Neurospora crassa OR74A: one gene and its partner. The protein of the gene in region 1 interacts with the protein of each later gene in a biochemical or structural test. Links are inferred from orthologs where the notes say so. Each region holds a gene or a part of one and is shown on either strand. Other genes may lie near its edges.

The links.
Region 2: the proteins of tom70 (region 1) and NCU03732 form a complex in vitro, tested with the Saccharomyces cerevisiae proteins (2 studies listed by BioGRID). The link is inferred for Neurospora crassa OR74A from reciprocal best matches to the Saccharomyces cerevisiae genes TOM70 and SIS1.

Annotation. Positions count from the first base shown.
Region 1 is NC_026505.1:5,337,777-5,345,644, reverse strand, and holds tom70 (outer mitochondrial membrane translocase), read left to right. Parts: upstream 1-2,463; 5' UTR 2,464-2,982; coding exon 2,983-3,174; intron 3,175-3,292; coding exon 3,293-4,262; intron 4,263-4,315; coding exon 4,316-4,789; intron 4,790-4,852; coding exon 4,853-5,091; 3' UTR 5,092-5,697; downstream 5,698-7,868. Other genes in the region: NCU04246 (hypothetical protein), read right to left, coding at 516-627, 697-1,415; syn-2 (syntaxin 2), read right to left, coding at 7,566-7,868. UniProt on the Saccharomyces cerevisiae protein: Component of the TOM (translocase of outer membrane) receptor complex responsible for the recognition and translocation of cytosolically synthesized mitochondrial preproteins.
Region 2 is NC_026505.1:2,237,183-2,245,106, forward strand, and holds NCU03732 (SIS1), read right to left. Parts: upstream 4,260-7,924; 5' UTR 3,825-4,259; coding exon 3,745-3,824; intron 3,582-3,744; coding exon 2,840-3,581; intron 2,765-2,839; coding exon 2,471-2,764; 3' UTR 1,712-2,470; downstream 1-1,711. Other genes in the region: NCU03733 (hypothetical protein), read right to left, coding at 5,246-5,830, 5,893-6,321. UniProt on the Saccharomyces cerevisiae protein: Required for nuclear migration during mitosis. It is required for the normal initiation of translation. Might mediate the dissociation of a specific protein complex of the translation machinery. Essential for viability.

The sequences.
Region 1 (7,868 bases):
AAAAGAAGTATGATAGTTGTAGTGTAATGCTCATGTCTATGGCATTGAGATATGGTGTATCTTATCTCTCTTTAGTCCGTCGGTTGACTTTTCACTTGTGCTTCATCGGGGTGCTCCCGCTTACAAGTTCCATTTCCGAGACTTCAGCAGGTCCTTCATCCTCAAAAAGGACGAATTTAATGATGTTGAACCTCGGCTCGTCAGTTTGTCTGTGTTGGGCCTTCTGAACAGGTGATTATGAGTTGTTAGCTTGGCTCGGCTTGCGCACCGTGATACATTGCTCCGCAAAATCCCCCGAAGGTCTCACGATGGGAAACAGCCCAGCCTGGTGTGTTGCCCTAGTGATGCCCGGGACGGGAGCAAATAAACATTGCCCCTGTTCAGCCTCGGTAGCACCGAACGACGATTACAAGCCATATCTTATGGTAACCGCGACTTTCAGAAACGGTATCCTGGCGCAATGAAAGCATCACGGAATCATGCCCTTAACGCTCATCCGCTTGCCATCTCAGGACCTAGCCCAACTTGACCTTTCCAAAGTAGAATCCCCTGCCCCCATTACTCAACCAGCACTCTTCTTCATCAACCAGCGAGTTTGCCCGTACAACCTGCTCAACCGCAATTCCCCTACCCAGGCGCGCCGTTAGCAGAACTGCCCAATAATAATCATCTCATCTCAAAGCAGGAGAAACGCACCTTTCCAAAGCCCATCTCCTCGTAGTTCCCGCATTTCCACCACTTCCCCAATCCCCTTCTGTCTCTCCCTCACCTTCCCCAACCGGCGGTGTCACCCATCTCCCGTCTCTCCAAAAGTACGGCGTGGCAATACTCCCTTCCATCACCTCCCCATCCTCGCTAACAATCAACACCTCCTTCCGATCCGTCAACGCGATCCCGTGCCTCTTTCTCGCTTCGTCGTAGATTTGGCGCTTCGTAGTCTTAAAGTGCGTGTATGCTGACTTTTTGGACCTTTGGGTGTCGACTAGGACCTCGAACGGCGTCGAGGTTCCCATCAGGCATAGACTAGGGATATTGGTACCCGGCTGGGGAAGGGAATTTGGGAAGAAGTTGGCTGTTGAAGGGACTTGTGGTGCTGGTGAGATGGTGATGCCTAGCTCTCCCTTCTCAGAGACGGTTACACGGATGCGGTTTGGGTGAGATCGCTGCTCGTCGGAGAGGGAGGAGAAAATGAAGGAGGAGAGCGTTTCGAGACCGCTGTCACCGGAGAGGAGAGAGACTACGGCGGGCCATTTGAAGTGAGTGGCGGCGCGCAGGATGCGATCGCGATGGTAAGGAAGCATGTACAATGGAGCGAACGGGGAGGATTCAGTGGGAGAGACGAAGCCGGGAAGCAGGAGAGGGTCGTAACGCAGGGTGGTGAAGAGGAGGAGGGGAGCTTCTGTCGTGGTCGCCATTGTGAGGGTGCCTGTCTTTGAAGGTTACCTAGATGGAGGAACAGCATAGACTCGATGGATTAGAGACTCCGAAGAGTGAAGGTGAATGGTGAAGAATACGATATCCGTAATGTATTATCTGTTTTATATGACATGCAATCCAGCTTGCTGACTCATTGCTCTCTGTGGTCGTTTCATGGGGAATATAATGTATAAAATCTATCAGCTTAGGTTTCCTCATACCTGATGGGCCCGATAAATCAACAATCCTTCGCGCCGACATGACCGATGATTGGTAAAAGAAGCCGCCGGTGATGGCAGGAATGAAACATGTAACAAAAAGATACAGACGGATGTATAAACTGAAATCACTGCAGTCCACGAGTCAAGTTCTGTCACAGTTGCATCAAAGACGGCAGCGACAAGGTCTGGACGGGATGACACTGCCCTGATGGTCGAATGGCGGGGCGTTCAACTTTAAAGTGGAACCACCCAAGCTGCCCTGATCCGCTTTTGCTTGACGTACATAAGCGAAGCTTACCCCACCGTGTGCGGTCATTCTTGGCGTTTATTCCATTTCCCCTCGGCTGAGTTGAGAGATATCTCAGCTACGAACGTTGATGAACTTGGGTTAATGGTGGTTGGAGTTATCTGAAATAGAGTATTCTCAGGGCTTATCTAGTCTGTGATAGTAGACAATGTAGAAGTCTTCATTCTTGTTATAAACTTCGACCTCCGTTGTTCCGAAAATCCAAGGGAAAGGGGAATGGATGTTCAGCTCCGAGTAGTCCATGTGTAAACCAACAGTGCTGAGCTGTAAACAGAGGGGATTCAGGCACCAGCTGCCCTGACAAGGCTTGGCAATAGCAGCTTGAAGGAGCTCAGACCACGTCAGCTTTGGAGGTCAACACTGTCTATTTACATCCCATTAGGCCTTAGTTCATGATATGTAATACCGTAGAGGTATGTATGGTAGTTTGTTTGCCGGTTGCCCAGCCGCCAGCCGCACTGCCGCCCGCGTCAAAACAACTTTTTTTTTTTTTTTTTTTTTCTCGCACGACGAAGATCTCGGAGCTTGAGCCCCAGCAGACAGACATTCATACGTCTGCCCATCCACCGACGCCATCGAGCAATTACCAAGCTTGAGGATTCCATTTGCTACTACCTTTTTCAGTGACTGTGCGCGTACCTGTGGACTTATTGTGGACTGCGCTGCCGTGTGCCAAGAGGGAAAACCTGTAGAGGAGTGAAGGAGTACCCCGGGCCCAACCTTGAAGTCCAGTTACGTTGCCGTGGGCTGTGGCCGCCGCCCGCCGCGCTATCCAAGTCCGGGTCCGACCCTTGCGAACGAACCCGCATCATCCACTCAAAAAAATAGAGGAACTTCACTTGGCTTGTTACTTACTGCAATTGAAGCAGTTGCCGGAATCTGTCTCTGAACTTGCCGCCGCCGCCGCCGTCCCTTCGTCTCCTCGATTACCTAGCCTTGCCATTCGGTCGTCTCTCTGCCGACTCCGATCTAGTATATACCCTGATTGTTTACCTTATCTACTAGAGGTTCTCCTACACCCATCACCACATAATAACCATGGCTCCCACCATCCCGCCGCCCTCCGTCCCCATCCCGGCGGCCACGCCCGTCACTGTCCCGGCCGACTCGTCCATCTGGGACCGCGTCTCCAACTGGGTCTCGGAGCACAAGGCTGTTGTCTACACCATTGCTGGTGTTTCCGTCGTCATCACCACCGCCGGTGTTGTCTACTATCTCCGCAAGGGATCAGTACGTTGCATCCTTCTCCCGCGCATCTTCCCGCGTCCCGCGTCTCGCTGCTGCCCTGCGCCCTGCCCAGCTGCATGAGGTCTTCTCGTTTACTAACGTTTGCGCCCACTCCCCCCAGGAGCAGAAGGAGTCCGGCCCCAAGCTCAGCAAGAAGGAAAGGAGGAAACGGAAGCAGGCCGAGAAGGGGGAGGCCGAGAAGGCTTCTACTTCCAAGACAGAAGAGGCCGCTCCCACACAACCCAAGGCCGCCGCCGTCGAGAGCGCCGACGAGCTGCCCGAGATCGATGAGGAATCCGTCGTCAGGCTATCCGAGGACGAGCGCAAGGCGTACGCCGCCAAGCTGAAGGAGCTCGGAAACAAGGCCTACGGTTCCAAGGACTTCAACAAGGCCATCGACCTTTACTCCAAGGCCATCATCTGCAAGCCCGACCCCGTCTACTACTCCAACCGCGCCGCTTGCCACAATGCCCTCGCCCAGTGGGAGCAGGTTGTCGCCGATACCACCGCCGCTCTCAAGCTCGACCCCCACTACGTCAAGGCCCTGAACCGCCGTGCCAATGCCTACGACCAGCTTAGCCGCTACAGCGACGCTCTCCTCGACTTCACTGCCAGCTGCATCATCGACGGCTTCCGCAACGAGCAGAGCGCCCAGGCCGTCGAGCGCCTCCTCAAGAAGTTCGCCGAGAACAAGGCCAAGGAAATCCTCGAGACAAAGCCTCCCAAGCTCCCCAGCTCCACCTTTGTTGGCAACTACCTCCAGAGCTTCCGCTCCAAGCCCCGCCCCGAGGGTCTCGAGGACTCTGTTGAGCTCTCCGAGGAGACCGGTCTTGGTCAGCTGCAGCTTGGCTTGAAGCACTTGGAGAGCAAGACTGGTACTGGTTATGAGGAGGGCTCCGCCGCCTTCAAGAAGGCCCTCGACCTCGGCGAGCTCGGTCCTCATGAGGCTCTTGCCTACAACCTCCGTGGTACCTTCCACTGCCTCATGGGCAAGCACGAGGAGGCTCTCGCCGATCTCAGCAAGTCCATCGAGCTCGACCCTGCCATGACCCAGAGCTACATCAAGCGTGCTAGCATGAACCTTGAGCTCGGTAAGTCTTTGTCTTCAACTGTTAACTTGGACCTGTGCTAACCCCTTTTATAGGTCACCCCGACAAGGCCGAGGAGGACTTCAACAAGGCCATTGAGCAGAACGCCGAGGACCCTGATATCTACTACCACCGCGCCCAGCTCCACTTCATCAAGGGGGAGTTCGCCGAGGCTGCTAAGGATTACCAGAAGTCCATCGATCTCGACTCCGACTTCATCTTCTCCCACATCCAGCTTGGTGTCACCCAGTACAAGATGGGCTCCATTGCCTCTTCCATGGCCACCTTCCGCCGCTGCATGAAGAACTTCGACCAGACCCCCGATGTCTACAACTACTATGGCGAGCTTCTTCTCGACCAGAACAAATTCCAGGAAGCCATTGAGAAGTTCGATACCGCGATCGCCCTCGAGAAGGAGACCAAGCCCATGTGCATGAACGTTCTCCCCCTCATTAACAAGGCTCTTGCCCTCTTCCAGTGGAAGCAGGATTATGCCGAAGCTGAGCAGCTCTGCGAGAAGGCCCTCATCAGTAAGATAGCCCCCATTTCAAACCAAATTATCATATCTTGTGTGCTAACATGAATGATTCCAGTCGACCCCGAGTGCGACATTGCCGTCGCCACCATGGCCCAGCTCCTCCTCCAGCAGGGCAAGGTCGTCGAGGCCCTCAAGTTCTTTGAGCGTGCCGCCGAGCTCGCCCGCACCGAAGGCGAACTTGTTAACGCCCTTTCCTACGCCGAGGCCACGAGGACACAGATCCAGGTACAGGAGAACTACCCCGAGCTGGCCAGCAAGCTCCAGGGCATGAGCGGTGGTCCCGGCATGCGGTAAAAGCATGTCAAGATTACTCTAGCAGCATAAAAAAGGAAGAGAAATAAAGAAAGCGATGAAGTTTTGAAACGAAGTAGAAAAGCAGTGTGTTGTACATTAAAAAGGGTTCATTTTTGGTTGTTGCTACTGCTGTAACGGTGTAAGGAGATTGAGGATGTCTGTTGGCGGTAAGGAGACGCGGGAATGGATGGATGGTGTTTTACATAGGTTGGCCTGGATGGGATAGGATGTAATGCTTTTTTTTTAATACTTCTCTCTCTTCTCCCTCTCTCTCTGTCTCTCGATTCCACACGACCTCATCACTACACATCACGATCATCGTCATCATCATCACCATCAATCCATTATCATCATACATCATGTTATGTCATGTTACGCTTCGGGGGTCAAATTGGCATTTGATTTTGGTTGAATATGGAGTTGATTTCAATGCTCTTCTCTCTATCTGCTTTTATGGGCCAACTCTACAGATGGGGAGTTCGGTATGTTCGTAATTATATGACGAATTAGTATGTTGTATATACTCACCTTGGAGTTGTAGTAAACGAGCTTAAATACGCTGAACAACACAAAACAAACGAGAATGAAGATGAAGATGAAAATGAAACATGGGTATCGATAAAAACCAACGTGGGACATCCGTACGGGGTGATTTCTCGGGGCCTCCTCCGAGTCACCTTTCATATTAAAAGTTAGACTCAAATTCTAAGCAACCCCAGAAACAGCCAATCTCAACACCCCCCCACCCCCAAAATAAAAAGAGAAAATTTTTAAAGAAAAAAAAAAACCCTTAGAAACAAGCCCAACCACCGATTCCCGGCGTCTCTTCTTTTTTTTTTTTCTCTCTTTTTTCTTTAGGTCTTTCCCACTCTCCAACTACCTGCTATTCTTCGAAATCCCAGCCACTTACTTTACTGACGATACATGCCCTCCCTCCTCTACACAGGTAAGATCAAGATCCGGCACAAACCCACCCACCATCGTTTCGCTGACCCTTTCTTTTCCAATACGTACGTACGTACGTAGATCACTTTTCTTTTTACCACCTACCTACCATATATCTCACTTAAGCCCTCGCAACTCGCAACTCGCAACTTGTTCAAGAGCAGCAAGCAGCAAGCCAGCCTGTGGAGCACTCAGTTCATGAAGGAGCAAAAGAGTTCTCAATAAAGAGAGAGGATTACCTAGATAGTTAGGTACATAGGTACATGTTAGATAATATATGTATATGTATGGTTAGTAGGTTGTTGTTGTTGTTGTTGTTAGGTAGACAACCAGCTCCTTCTCACTGTTCTTCGGAGATTTGTATAAGGACTTTTTTTTTTTTTTTTTTTTTTTTTTTTTTTTTTTTTTTTTTTCGGGGTTTAGGATGTTTTGGGGCTGGGTGACACTGAAAGTGAAAGTGATGGGTGAAGTGGTAGGTGAAGTGACCGGGTGAACAACTTCGAGAGAGCTTTAGGAAAATTGGAGAAAAAAAAGTGAAATCTGGAAAGAGTGGTTGTGAGAAGGTTTTAAGGAGATGGGGAGAGTGTGATTGAAGTGAAGAAGTGACTAAGTAAACAGATGAACTGTGAGTGAAGAGTCAGTGGTACAAGAGTCAGGTTAGTATACAACCAACAGTCAGTAGTCCATTTAAGCTTTACTTGAGATCATATAAGCTCACTCACTACGTAGAGCTGAGCCGTGGAACTCTCTGTTTCGGTTTCAACAGGAGCGAGTGTGGGTCGTTGCGTTTATATCGGGTTCTATTGTTTTTCTTTCGCTCCAGTCATACACAACGTCGAAACTGCAAACCGAAATGAAAACGACCCATCCGGAGTTAAAAAAAGAGTAATTACTAATGTAAACAAGTTTTGCACCACAAAACCAAACGGGGGGGAGTATAACATGAAGAAGCTGAGCCGTAGCACACCTCAAGAAGAAACATGAAAAAAAAGAAACCCTCGATCCGTCCATCCGTCATCCACCGTCCCATCCGTCCATCCATGCGTCGTTCGTGATTATTACGTCCCGGGGTGTGTTGTCCTGAAACAGTTCGTTCGCGTAAAACATGCTTTGCTGACATATCAACCCGTATGAATATCATATATATCCGTTTCCACTCCCCTCTTTCCTTCTCCTTTCTCTTCTCTCATGGGTATTTGTTGTGTACGTGTCGAGTTTGGTAGGAGCCATTACCAGCCCGCACTGTAAGATCTCTGTTCTCCAGCCACCGTAGCATTCCAACTTAGTCCTTGAGACGGAGGAACATAAGCGTGATTACCTCCGCCTGAAGGCACTGGCGCTGGAACAACCGTTGGGAGCGGCACAGGTACCGGAACCAATGGAGGAATAACCGGCACCGGAGGGATCACCTGCGCCTGCGACTGTGACTGCTGTTGCGCCTCCTGCTGCTGCTGCGACGGCGGCGGCGTGGCCCCTTTTAAGCCACCAGCCTCATCTGCGTCTGAACCTCCCGAACCACCACCGAATCTCTAATTCTTCTTGTTCGAGAAGTAGACGCCCAGGCCGACACCGAGCGCAATGGCAATAATGATGAGCACGCACACCAGCAAGCAGTACCATTTGAGCTTGCGGCGGTTGCGGGCGTGCTTGACGCCCTTGTCAACCTCCTGGATACCCTTGTCCATGTTGTCGTTGACCTGTTCCGTCTTTTGGACCACGTCGGCGATGACCTCGCCCTGCTGCACGATGAGCGTGTTAAGGTACTCGAAAAGTTGGGCGAGCTCTTGCATCGATTGCTCGACGCGGAGGAGTTCCTGGTGGCGGGCTTGTAC
Region 2 (7,924 bases), about 3.1 Mb from region 1:
TGAGCGTTTGAGTTGGGTACTGAAGGTGTCTTTAGATGATAACGTCGCTAGCGTTCTTCGGCCGTGATCTCCAAGAGTTCCCGGTTAAGATAAGTAGCCGAAAGGATGATCGTGATGAGCAAATGGGTATCTCGTAAACACGAAGCAATTTAAGCTATGAGCAAAAGTCGTGTGGAGCAAGAGCGAAAGCACGTCTGCTAAGAGGCGAGGATAGAGAGCGAGGGTGAGTGCGGTAGGTTAGAGGTGGAAATAATAGCCGTTTTGTAGGGAGGAAGAGAAGATAAGAGGATGAAGGAGTAAATAAGAGGAAGGAAAGAGCGGGAGAAAGAAGCTTGAAGTACCTACGTAAGGTAAGCGAGAAAAGAGCTACCTCTCTCTACTTACTGAATCCCTAACATGTGGATATTACCTACTTCCCGGTCTCTTTTCCTAACCCACTACACATACCAAAGTCCAAGGCACAGAACAATAACAAAAAGAAGGACCCCTGGGACCAATGGACAGGACAGGACAGGACGGACTCGTGCATCGCCGGTCTTGACCACGGTTACGAGGTCCGTTCCTGAAACCCCACCTCACCACATCACACATCACTGCCGCGCTCGGCGCTCGGGGACCACACTGACAAACCACCAGAACTGCTGAACCTTCGAGACGGGATTCGATCGATCTTCTCCATCACTTTCTGAATGTTGCTCTGACCCCTCACATCACCCTGAGCACCTAGCACCCCCTCTCGTACACCTTTCTTTTCCTGAGGAAACGTGCAGACGGATGCCTTCTCCAGACAGGATGTTGATCGGCGTCAGAGTACACTAGTGGTAGTGGGGCACCCGGTGATGTCATTGGACAGAAGCCCCACCGTGACATAGAGCGGGGCCCGGGAAGTACGCTAAAGGAACTCTAACTTGTTAACAGTAGCACTAAGTGATTGTGAGAGTGATAGCTAGTTATCTAACTATCATCATCAATGAGACCAAGAACATCGTGCAGCCAAGGACAGGCCTCGGTCGAACCATCTTCGCGAAGAACAACACAGCAACAAAACCGAAAACAGGTGAAAGCGCTCGATTCAAAAATCCGAATCCAGAACCTCACAGAAACCTTGGACCCGGACCCTGCAAATCTTTTGTCCAATAACAAAAATATCTAACCGTAGAGATGCTTCCATGACCCCCCATTGAGATCAGCACCAAAATGATGATCAAGTCAGCAGTAGAACAGCCATCCGAGTCCCAAAAAGAAAAAAAAGAAAAACAAATGAAACAGAAAGCAGTATAGGTAAGCGACAACGCGGGAAAGGTAAGACCGAGTGGTCACTTCCGCTTCCGCTCATTCTCCCATTATGCCGCGTTTCCCGATCGACCAGCCAGCCGGTTATATGTAATCCTTGGCTTGGCGGGGTGTTGGAATGGCTGTTGGGTAGGTAGACGGGCCGACCTAACAATGTCGTTGTCCCTCTTGTTTGTACTTTCAAAAATCCCGTGATGAGAGCCAAGATGAAGTGAAAAGTGGACAAGTTGAATCATCGTTCTTCGCAGTTGGATTCGGCCCCGCCGTGGCTTCCCCCCCTAAGATACGTACACGACTGTGTGTTTATTTGGCCAACTTGTTGTAGCTGGAACTTGCACATATTCCCACATGTCGCTCCGCGTCGTCTTTCAGCAAGTTATGGTTTCTCTCCAAGGTCAAGTCGAGAAAGGGAGAGATTTTCTGGGCACATTGATTTTCATTCTGTAGTAACTATGTCCATCTATCGGTTCTAGCCACCCCGCTTGGTAGTCTATGGTCACGATCAATTTTCTCCTCGTGTGTGTCGTTTGGTGGTGGTGACCGAGGATTGTCACCTTGAATCCATTCCGAGATGCAGTAGTCCAAGCCGTCTTCTATAAAAGATATAGCCATTTGATATCTAAGCCTGCTATGGTATTCCCATTGACGTTGGCCTCGCGTGTCTCTGGCTATTGTTGAACCTTGAGAGGACGCAACATGCTAAGAGAGACCAGCGCCCTTTCCTCTCCCAACATTCACAACAGGGGGCCTAAGAACTTTTGTCGGGGATACTCATTATCATGAAAATTGTCATCATCAGCTCCCACCACACATGCCGCCTAAACCAACAATACCAATCTCAATGCGAGCCTGACGCGATGAAAGCTGAGCACCAAAAGAAGAAACAAATCCAGTAACGCCCAAATATGGTGGACCATGGTCAAGAACCGCACATGGCGGACAGAGACCAAAGCAAATGCCCCCCGGGTAAAAAACAAATCCAACACGCCCACCATTCTACATACACTCAAGGGGGTGGATCCGAACAGGTTCCCGAATGTTGTCAAAGGCCGGCGTTAAAAGCTGTTCTTCAGGCCAATCCAAGACTGCTGGTCCCTTCCTGTTGAGGCGACAAGAAGGACAAAGGTATCCGAGAGTGAACTACCACAGAGAACCGATACTCATCGCTTGACCCCATTTAGAGGATTTCCTTCAGTTTTTCCTTTTGTTCAGGCGTCAAGCTGGTGGGGAACTTGACATTATACTTGACGATGAGGTTGCCCCGTTGGCCTGGTTGCTTCGAGATGGGCATGCCCAGGCCCGGATATACATCTTGGCTCCCAGGTTGTGTCGGGCCGGCCTTCTCAATGTTAATGCTCTTGCCGTCGATCGTCGTGATGGTTCTCTTCCACCCTGTCAATGCCTCCTTGAGGTCTAAGTCGATAGTATGAATTAGGTCGTTGCCGTCCCGAGTGAAAAGCGGATGTGGTTTCTAAAACCACATTGTCAGCTGGCCATTCCTTCAAAAAGGCAATGCGTGAAGAAAGGGAAGGGAGTTTATACGTACCTCTTCGACGACGAACACCAAATCCTGCTGGCCACCCTCTTCTTGATCACCAACACCCTTGAACCGGATTTTGCTACCCTTCTTGAGGCCGGGCTTGATTGGTACCTCCAAGACGGTATCGCTCGTCGTGCGCTTACCGGTCTCGTCAAAGGTCTTGCGCTTGATCTTCATTTTCTTCGTCGTGCCGTGGAACAGATCCTCAAGGGATACGGGTAAGGGGCGTTCAACTGTCGTGACTTCGGGTGTTGCTTGGCGGGCGCTGCGCATGTTGTCGGCGCCGCCGAAGGGGTTTCTCGCAGTTCGGCGCTGTCCTGCACCACCACGCGCAGCATTAAAGAGGATGTCTTCAAAACCCATTCCGCCCATGCCACCACCCATGCCACCACCCATGCCGCCGCCCATCTTTTCATCCCGGAAAGCATCCCGGAAGAGGTCCTCGGGGTTGGTAAAATTGAATCCATAGGAAAATGTTCTCGCACCTCCTCCGCCACCAGGCATGCCTCCTCCTCCAAAGAAAGAAGCAAAGCCCTCGGGCATGCCACCAGCTCCGGCAAATGGGTTTGCGCCGCCCTCAGTCGGGGGCGGGCCGCCTCTCAGGATAAATTCAAGGCCGAACTGATCGTACATCTTGCGTTTCTCGGGATCCGAAAGGATTTCATACGCCTGAGAGCACTCCTTGAATTTTTCGGCAGCCTCCGGGTTGTCCTTGTTCTTGTCGGGGTGCCATTTTAGGGCGGCTTTCCTGGTGAGGGGTCAGCAGGGGTCCACTGAAGGCTGTAAGAGAGGATGATGTGAATGCCAAAGTGAAAGAAGGATGGCGTAGGAAAGAGGAGATCTCTCCCTCGATCTTATACTGCGAGATGCGAGAGCAGTTATGTGGGGTTTCGGGTTGGAGATATGCTCACCTGTAGGCTTTCTTGATCTCGTCCTGGGTAGCCGTAGGGCTGATCCCTAGCAGGTCGTAGAGCTTCGTTTCCTTGACCATCTTTGTGACGCAATATTAGAGACGAGTGTAGTGTATGTGAGTCTAGTAAAAATGTAGAGGCTGTTTCGCGAAGCTTGATCAGAGCCGCGAAGTGTCTCGGCGGTCGTTAGGTGCAAGGGAGAACAATTAACCCGACGTGTTCTGTGTTGTTGTAGTGGTACGGGTAGGGTAATTAAGGTAGAGTGAGGTAGCGATGACAGATGCGTATTAGACGTTAGCGATTCTATAGCGCTCGTGGGTCCTTTGGATGGCTCGTAAAGCGCCTGTCAAAGTCGATCTTGATGGAATGCGCGAGAGCAAATTCGCAATGCAAGAGTAGGGATTTCAGATATTGAACAGAATTGAGATGCAACACAGAGTCGGAGAGGAAGCTATCACTTGGTGGAAGAGGGAGGGACAAGGCCATAAAATGCCTTGGCGAAGGGCGTGTGTAGCAGGAACAGGAGGTTGTAGAACCTTCGACCGTGAGCCTATCGGCTTCCAAGACCTGGAGATAGTGACGCAGGGCTCGCGTAGTGGGTACATGCTAAAAGTAGCGCCTGTTAGTAATCTTCATGTCCCCGAGCAGTTTGCTGCTGCAGGGAAAGAGTAATACTAACAATGTAAGTCCAGGCCAAGTCCCCACTAACTGATGCGGGCCGCCAAGCCAGCTAGCAGGAAGGGAAGCTCCATTAAGTAGTTGACCTTCGCTTGACCTCAGCGAAACTGTGCTAGCAGTCTGCTGAGCGGTTGGGACGCGTCCGGAGCACCTATCAAAGATGAACATCATCACCCAGCACCTTCGATGGGCTGCACATCACCAGATATTTGAAAGTTAGATCCAGCTCAGTTCGTCATACCAGTATACCCATTCGCCCGCAATCCCATTCTTCTGGTACTCACTCGCATCGATGAAACAGGATGGATTGCCGTAAATCATGATCGCGATTCCAATCAATCATCCTTACATTGTGCCTTATTACAAGGCAACGAAGAAGGTTGCACAACCTCATGGAAGCCAACAGCAAGCAACGGCCGCACTCGATCTTTTAATGACAGCCCCATGATAAGGAAAATCCGCGACAACTCCACACAAATGAGGCCTGGATAGCTCACCATAGAACTTGTAGTCAGGAGCAGATCAAAGTCAAAGCATGTCTTCAAGAACTTCTCCATATGAAGGATTAAACTAGTTCGTCAAATATGTGTCATCAACCACCAAGGAGAAGCAAAGCGGGACTCTATTTCTCGAATCACGACGGTACAGAGCAGATCTAGAACAAGTTAGACCTGAGGCCTACTGTCATGACTTTCCAAATAAGCCCGGTTGACCTGCTCTGATGACCCCTGACGAAGGCAAAAAAAAAAAAAAAAAAAAGGTGCAAAAACACGCCAAAACAAACACCGAGAAGAATAATCCACGTTGCTCGGTATGTCCTAACTCAAACCGCTTCGTACACATAGAGAGTCGAATTCCTTTCATCGGGCAGGAAGAACAGCCTCATCTTACCGTCCACGACAGCCACATCCATTGGATTCTTGGTCATTGCAGCACCATGTTCCGACACCAAGGTCACAGGAACCTCGTGTAAAGGAACCATAGTTTCCATGTCCACTATCGCGATACCGCCGATTCTCGTGTTCGCCAAGTCTGCAACGCCAGAGCATAACATCACTGGCCGGGTCTCGTAAAGCTCGTAACGACCCAGGAATTTGCAATCCTGATAGTCAATGAAGCTGCTCGGATTCCTGACCACTGCCCGCGGCTGAGTGAACTTGGCGGGCGCCAGATGCTTGTCGTGCCCGTTCCAGATCGACGCTTTGCGCGACCCCCAGTTCAAGGTGACTACAGTTCCGGACTTTGTGTCGTGGACCGCTCCTCCCTGGTGGTCTGCAACGCTCAAGATGGGCTCTGGTACCAGCGTGTCGGGGCGCATCCTCACAAGCGTTCCAGTTGTGTTGGGACGATACTGGGAGAGGGTGGCCCAGATGTAGGTTCCATCGTAGTCAATGCCGCCGTTGTGGTACTACTTGTGCTGTCAGCCGCGGTAAGATTGTTGAGAACGGGCTGCGCAACGGACGGACAGACCTCGAGAGACTTGGCTTGTGAGATTGAGGCATCAGCAATACGCTTCCCTTTGCCATCGAAGATGATCATATGGGCAAACCCTTCGCCAGCTGTGCGATCCGTGCCGTTGATGGTCTCATTGTATTTGACCGTCGGCACAATGTATTCACCAGCCGACACGAAGTAGCGGTCATTGCCGATGCGAACTATTCCTTCGGGCTCATAGGTGTCGCCTTCGAACTGAACCTTATCAACAAGTTTCCATTTCGTTGAACGATCAAGCTCTACAAACTGACGAATAATCTCTTTTGAGTCGGACGCCGCGCCGGGAAGAGGGTGGGGGTGAGGGACGAAGGGTACGTCAGGTTGAAGGATGGTGATGTTGAGACCTCCTGATGGTTGTAGAGGTTTAGAAAAGAGCAAAGAGAGTACGGTAAGCGCTCTCAACATCTTGCCAATTGGGCAGACAGGAGCAGTTTCAATTGTAGTTCTCTTTGCTCAATGTCACTAGTTGTGGAGGTTTACCAGGTGTGCCAAGGTCAGTGGCATTCCCTCCCGTCCCGGAAGATCGAAACAGCCAAGTGCGGAGTATTATTGTATGTGGGGGCACGGCCCGGCGCCGGGAAACGACAACATTCAAACAAGCATTGCCGATCGATCGGCCGGCCGTCTTCTTGTGCACAGATCCCGATACATTCTCCATGGTTCAAACTATGTAGACTCCCCAACGACATATTAGTGTACACGCTCGAAAAGGAACAAGGGTCTGTCGTTGATGAAGCTGGTCTACCTCGAGATACAACAACGCCGATGCGGGGTTGGTCTGTAGACTGATTAGGTATAAAAACTTTCCACGCACCCCTTGACTTTGATTTCCCCTTTTTGTGAAGCCCAAGTCCCAGCGTTAAATGCTGTGGCCTCGAAAAAACCCAGTATTGATCCAGACTAGGTAGTATATGGAACCTACCTATGTACTGACACCACACCTGGGAATGTTCTTTCCCAAATGAGAACTATGCAAGTAAGTGCTCTTCCCGCCTTCCCCTTCCGACCTGTGTCTTTTGTCGGACTGAATAAAGGTCGGACCTGACAGGTTCCGGGTTGTTTTCTCCCTAAGTCACCCAGAAGCAGAATGTGACCTAATCCCCTCTGTCCGTTCAGTCGATTGCTTAATATCTATTGATCTCTACTATATTTCGAGGTCGTAGCCGTTGCTCCTCGCTCGCCAGCATCGAACACATTAGGTTCTCGCCTTCCGTTGCTTGACTGAACCGAGCGTGCTTGCACGTCAGCTGTGGTTGGTAACAGAATCATCCAGTTGGTAAAGCACGCAGGCAGTATGTAGCACTCTTACTATGCCTGGAAGAATCGCTTGACTGACCCCCCGACAGAGGTCGGATCTTCCGGCAGATATGGCAGCTGGTAAGGCCATAGGTTTCTTGATCTGAAGAGCCTTCTCATTTTACTCCTCTCCGGAAGAAGCTTGATAAATGGTTATTGCTCCAGCTATGGCTCCTCTCTGAGAAAGCAGCGCAAGCGAGTTGAGGTCGGCCAGCATGCTCGCTATCCTTAATTTGTTACCCCATTCTGCTTCCATCTCGTTGATGAGGTTGTTCTCTCAGGTCCGGTGGGAATTCTTCCTACTCAGCGGTAGAAATTGTATGGCCCTCAACCCTCCACTACAGCACTCTCTGCGGCAGACACACCGTCAAGCGAGTTGCTTTTGGCATCTGGAAGTGCCACGGCCAAGGGTATGCCAAATTATTGAGCGGCGGCGCTTACCTGCTCGCGTGAGTGTCATCCATTCAACTGTAAGCCAGTTCTGATGCTCATAATAGTAAACCTGCTACCGTCACTGCCAGATCGACTCTTCGACGTCTGCGAGACATCGCGCCCGCCCAGACATGCCGAGCTTGGGAGCATACTAGCTCGTATGTTGCAGAACCGCGTCCTTGTTGTCGTCCATACTCCCCTCAACAGAAGTTGCGCACCGGATGTTCTGGAGGATGTATCGGTTCTGTGTCATGTCGAGCGGATATCTGATTTTGAGCCT